Danio rerio: one gene and its partner. The protein of the gene in region 1 interacts with the protein of each later gene in a pairwise test. Links are inferred from orthologs where the notes say so. Each region holds a gene or a part of one and is shown in the gene's direction. Other genes may lie near its edges.

What was found. The genes of interacting proteins can lie anywhere in the genome.
Region 2: the proteins of agtrap (region 1) and mief1 interact in binary tests that used the Homo sapiens proteins (3 or more experiments, as listed by UniProt). The two-hybrid records come from large-scale screens. The link is inferred for Danio rerio from reciprocal best matches to the Homo sapiens genes AGTRAP and MIEF1.

The regions. Positions count from the first base shown.
Region 1 is NC_133186.1:18,188,833-18,191,739, forward strand, and holds the end of agtrap (type-1 angiotensin II receptor-associated protein), read left to right. Parts: intron 1-2,258; coding exon 2,259-2,383; 3' UTR 2,384-2,407; downstream 2,408-2,907. UniProt on the Homo sapiens protein: Appears to be a negative regulator of type-1 angiotensin II receptor-mediated signaling by regulating receptor internalization as well as mechanism of receptor desensitization such as phosphorylation.
Region 2 is NC_133178.1:23,885,349-23,889,014, reverse strand, and holds part of mief1 (mitochondrial dynamics protein MID51), read left to right. Parts: intron 1-839; 5' UTR 840-1,123; exon of another isoform or gene 1,124-1,127; intron 1,128-2,124; 5' UTR 2,125-2,138; coding exon 2,139-2,285; intron 2,286-2,896; coding exon 2,897-3,077; intron 3,078-3,666. UniProt on the Homo sapiens protein: Mitochondrial outer membrane protein which regulates mitochondrial fission/fusion dynamics.

The DNA.
Region 1 (2,907 bases):
ACAGACACGAAGGAAGCAGATCTCTTAAACGTTTGTGAGAAATACTACAATAACAACTTTCCCAAATATTATTTGATGTATTTGTTGTGGAGTTAATTCAAGCCTATGGAACGTCATTGTGTGAGACTCATCATTGCATAAAGTTTACGCTAGAGAACCCGCCCCGTTTTCTACCCGCCGCGCCCGTTTCCACTAACGAGTGGGGGGAGAACAAAACCGAAAACCACCCAGCTATACAGAGTCCAGACAGCCTATAACAAACTGTCTGTATAAACACACACACACACACACACACACACACACACACACACACACACACACACATAAGCACCAAGCAAGTGACACACACACACATAGGCATCACACTCTTTCTCTCTCTCTCACTCACACACACAGACAGCACAAAGCTTTCTCTCTCATTCGTACACGCACACACGCACAGACACACACACAGAGTGATGCTGTGTTTAGCTTGTTTGCTGCTGTCTCATTCACACACATACATACGCGTGCTCGCTCGCTCGGAAGTCGGGAGCGATATTGTTGGACAGTTACTCCCGTCCAAAATTAAACCAGTTACCGACCGCTCCCGCGCTTTATTCGGAAATGTATTACCGCACCGCAGAAATCTGGTCGGGTTGAATGCAGACCTCTAGTTCACGCACACAAACACACACACACACGCAGTTGTGACAGGATACACGTTAATATCCTCTGCTGTGTGGATATCTGTTATGTTAATGTACATATTAAACTTGATTTAATGTCCATAACCGGGATTCTTCTTTTATAATTGTACTGATATGTGGCTGTGGTGATAAAGTAAAGACGGTAAAATCTCTGTAATAAAGTTTTAAAAAGGTTTTAAATTTGTAAAACTCATTCTTGATCATATTTGATGATGATTGATGTTCACAGCGATACCAGTTTCTTTGTGTATGTCCTGTCTTGTTGATATGATTATAGGCGTTACTACAGAGACATGTTAATACGCGACGTCAATCATTTTGGTGGGTACGGGAACCACACTCCTACGTCACGTTGTGGTGGGCCGCAAAATGGGGAAAATTTGGATCCTATTTTACTGTCAGGAAATTAAAAAAAAGAGACTTAGTGTATTTTTATCACTTCAATATGACTGTGGACAAATTATACCTAAACTCAGTTATGTTCAAACTGCTTAAAAACGATGTTTAGGTGCCCTTTAAATTAGCAGTTTTCCATATTTTGTGTATTTTATTTTATTTTCTGTTTATTTATGTTTTTGAAATGCATTATGGTACATTTTCTGTGACTTTTTTCTTTACTCTTTACATATAATTTCTTATACATTATATTATTTCAAACTACTAAAGTGTGAATAAATTTTCAACATCAAAAGTCGACAGAGCAAAGATCAAGATCCCATAATGCAATTCCTACTCGTAAATAAATGGATAAATGCTTGTGAATCACGAAATACGGAAACTGTTATTTAACATGTTTTACAGCAGTTAAATTAGCTATAATATTATGTTAAAAAGGAATTTATAATAATAACTTTTGTATTGCTATAATAATAATAACTGTTTTATGAAGGTCTCGAAGGTCCCCCCTCATGATTATCTCGAAAATATCCACACTGTAACACAACAGTTCATTTTCTAGCTGTATAACGTCTGACTGAATGGGCACAGAAGTGCTGATTTATTGCATTTAAATTAGTTGTCAATATTTGCCTGTGTTTTTATTGCACATTATAAGGGAATCGTGTAATAATTTTTTATTTAGACTGGACTTCTCAGGTTGTGCTTAAATAAATAGAAGCAAAATCAAATTGATCCGTTTTACTTGGCTTGATTTCTTTTTTCTTTCCTTTTGTATTACTAGTTTTTTTTTTTACAAAGTAGTTTTGCATGTTAAAGAAATAAGGTCTAAAATGTCATTTAGAACATTAGACTATAAATGTGCAGTAAAAAGTGTCCGTTTACTCATTTACTAATGAAGTTTCTTCAGTTAATGGATCATGATCATTCTGGATGAATGAGAAAAGATTAGGCTAGGTTCTGAATATTGCTCTTGCTGATATCAAGAAATCATATGGTGAGTTAACAATGTCAATATGTATTTTTATTTTTTTTAAGTGTGTGTTTCTTGAAAACAGTAAGCATGGAAGTCCCCCCCAGTAAACCTAATCATTAAAGAATTGTACATGAGATTGAGTTGGACTTTCCATTCATTAATTCTGGATTTATTTTTCTTATTTTTTTAAATTTCAGGTTTCCCATCAATATCTCGAAACAGAGATGCCTACCAGTCTATTGACCACAACGATCAATCTGGAAGCTCTGCCAACCCCTTTGGCCAAGCGGAAGATGGCAAATCTGGCACTCGTTCCTACTAAACATTTATTAAAAAATATATATAGCAAAATGTTTTGCAACCCAGGCTAAATGTGAATTTTTGCTTGGTTCATGATTTGTGTATGTTTTTGTTTAATTTGTATGCCTATTTATTATTATTATCATTATTATTATAAATAATAGTATTAAATATAATGTTGAAGCATGAAGGAAAACAACTTTACATTTGGAGATGCCTCGTTACTGAAGAAAACTCAGAGATAAATGAAAACCCACCTTCAACACCTTTTTTTTAACCTTAGGACTGCTTTGTACAAGTGCAAGCTGTTTGATTTTTTAAAGGTGTTATTTGTGAAGCTCAAAATTTGCTGCTTCACAGTAAGGTTCCTTGATGCTATAATTTTGGTGTGCACAACATTATTATTATTTTTTACTTTTACTTTTCTTCATTTACTATTTTGTAGCATAAAATTGGTCCATTTTGTGAAAGGTTTAAACTTTTTTTTCCAACCTGATCTCACAAGAAAACGCAAGTATTTTACGTTTTGTCAGTTTAGTGGCTAAT
Region 2 (3,666 bases), on another chromosome or scaffold:
CAAGTCATTAACGTAGGATCTCTCACTCAAAGCTTGTCAGAAGTTGGCACTGGCCGCTCTGCTTTGCCTTCGGAAAACTCTCATGATTAATTAAGAAGTCGATTCTTCTCATAGGATGAGACAACTCTGTTATGAAGAATAACGAGAAACCGACGTGTCATCTTTGCACTTGCAGTTTTGCTATACGTCGCTGATTTTGATCCCGCCCCAAAAATCATTTTAAACCCGGAAGATGAAATTAGCTGACAAAAGCTCAAAATTATCCAGTTTTCACCACAATTAGAGCTAACAGATGCTAACATTGTCTTGAATTATGCTAAACACACACGAATCTGTTAAAATCTCAAAAAAAGTACTCAAGGGTTTTGTGAACCTACTGTATTTCAATACTGCGCATTATGGTGGTACTTGGAGAGATTTTTTTTTCAGAGGTGGTACCTGATGAAAAAAGTTTGAGAACCACTGTCTTAGATCATTTAAGAAAGGTACAAAGAACGGACGTTTTTGATACCAATGAAAACAGCAAAAGTCAATGATTCATTCTAATTATTTAGCCTGACATGTTTACTGCTTCAAAATATTAGAAATGTTTCTTAAAATAAAATAAAATATAATATGTTCAATGGGGTAAAAAGTTGCTGTTTTTTTTTTTTACCCAAAAAAAGAACATATTTTAGATTACGAATCACAATACTGTGAAACCATGATATTTTTATCCAAGGTTATCATACCATCAGAACCTTATACTGGCCCGTGTCTACTTAAGGGTTAATGTATGCTTAGAAAATGTAATTTTTTTGATGAACTATTCCTTATGTGTTGATTTTCTTTTTCTCCAGCGTGTGAGTTGCGTGTCTTTGGCCACTCTGAGCTCTCCCTGATGGGCGGCTGGTCCCGCAGTGCTGTGCTGCAGCTGTACCGAGCTCTGCTCCGTGCAGGCCAACATCTACAGTACACTGACCGAGACTACTACCGGCGTGTAGTGACCCGAGAGTTCAGGCGCTGTCAGACCCTCAGCGCCCCGGCAGAGAGGGAGGACGCGCTCAAGAGAGGCCAGTTCTTCCTCAACAGCGGCCTGGGAGATTTGGTGTAGAACAACTGGGCCATCTGCATCAAGACACTGGTTGGTAAGATCAGGTTTTTATATTTGAGATGGTTGTTACGAAATAGCTATTAAAATATTTATATTAAGCTAATATATATATATATATATATATATATATATATATATATATATATATATATATATATATATATATATATATATATATATATTATATATATATATATATATATATATATATATATATATATATATATATATATATATATTTATATATATATATATATATATATATATATATATATTTATATATATATATATATATATATATATTTATATATATATATATATATATATATATATATATATATATATATATATTTATATATATTTATATATATATATATATATATTTATATATATATATATATATATATATATATATATATATTTATATATATATATATATATATATATATATATATATATATATATATATATATATATATATATATATATTCATTCATTTATTCAGATTAAATAGTTAATTCCTCCTAGTCGGTATTCTAATAAATGAGGTTTTAGATGGGAGTCTTAAAAATACTTTAAGTCAAATATAAAATAGCGTTATGTTGGATTTAGTGTTTATATATATTCATGTTAAAGCTACAGCTGTTATTCAGTTAGAAGCACTTATTAACTTTTGATTTGTTTAATTTAAGGACAAAGCTGTAGGTATATTTGATTATTTCCCATATTTCTATAATATTTGCTGTAAAAGCACTCATTTGTTTAAGGGTAAAAGGTTAAATAAAATACTATTTAATATATTAGATTTTTTTCAGCTAGAACTTTGCAACCATAAAACCCCTTTTGTTCAGTCCTACTTATCGAAGTCTTTTGTCTAATAACACCACAATTTGTTACCAGAACTGAACTGTCCCGTGATCAACATGATGTGATCTTTGAGTGAACTGCATCTAAGCTCTGAATGTTATGGAGCTTCCAGTTAATGAGAAAATTTGATGTCATCATCTTATCCTATCTTCTTGCTCCTCAAGGAGGGTAAAGATCGATGGCAGGAGTGAACGGGGATCGCAAGGGGAAGAAAGATGACAATGGGCTGGGCACAGCGATCGACTTTGTGCTCTCTAATGCAAAGCTGGTGCTGGGAGTGGGGGGAGCTGCCATGCTGGGCATCGCCACACTCGCCGTTAAAAGAGTGAGTACAAGAACGCAATTCTATAAACACCTAAATAAAATCTCCCATGATTGTGGAAGGGCTTTTATTAATTCTACACAGCGAAACATCTTGAAAATTATGCAAATTGTATTAGGTGCATGCTTATGTCAATATTGTTATCTGTCCCTGATAAATTTAGGTTAGTCTTAACACATTCTTCAAGCATCACATTTCAGGCTGTATTCTTTATGAATGTGGCATGATGTAATGCTTTTTTTCTGAGGTTGTTTTTGAACATTTATAGCTACACATGCGGTACTTTTTCATAATATAAAGGTTTAAAAGTAAGTTTTAAGGTTCAACTGTTAAAAGTAAGCCATTTATATTTAAAATAAAATAAAAATAAAAAAACATGTTTACAAATAAAAAAACATGAATTGCTTCAAAATGAAAAAATAAGCTACAATCTTAAGTTGGGTTCAGTAATATATTTCTGTCCTGCAGCATTAAATTAACAGTGGCTTTTACATTGTTTACATGTAAGCTTATTATTGAACCTCCTTTTAAGAAATACTTTGTTACTAGTGCTGAACTACATTTTAGAAATATACTTGAAATATTGATGTAGAATTTATTGTGATTACTCTCAGATGTACGATCGAGCTCTCAGTGCCCCATCCAGTCCCACAAAAGCAGACCCATCAGGACGGAGAAGCTGGGAGGAGCCGAGCTGGTTGGGGTCATCTCCACGCACACTGAACCATGACATGAAACAAAATGTCAGTCGCTCATTGCAGACACTGCCCACCTCCTCCAGCTCTTTCAAGCCAGGTAATGAATCTCTGCTGCCTCGCTGAAACAACATCCTGTGCTTTTGTATGAGACTGCCATAATGGACCCTTTTCACATTTCTGGGTTTCTCAGTAGCGGAAGTCGTCATAGTTGGGGAAAACTTAGAGCGCAGTGAATGGGAGAATACAAAAAAAAAAGTACAATCTTAATTACTCATATAACAAAATAAAAATCCACAATAGTGTTAAAACGACTTTTAGAAAAAGGAAAAAAAATTGTGTGAGACTGAAAACGGCAGCCAAAGGAGAGAATAACGTCAAATGTACTGTCCTGCTCCAAAGACGCTGCATTAGAAATGCCTCACACAAGCGGTAATTTGTTTTTTGTAATTTGAAGCAAAGACAATATGCTACATACGTAAATACATATAAATGTTCATACGTTTTTAAAAAAAAAAATCTAAATATTAAAAACATTCAAGTATTTGAGATGCTGAAGACCGTTAAACACATCATAACAGGATTGTGAAAAGGGTTAATACAACATGTGCATTTCCACTCCCTGATGTCCCCACTGCTCTTTATTGTCAATTTAATGCTGTTTGATTTTATATTATAGAAATAAGGGT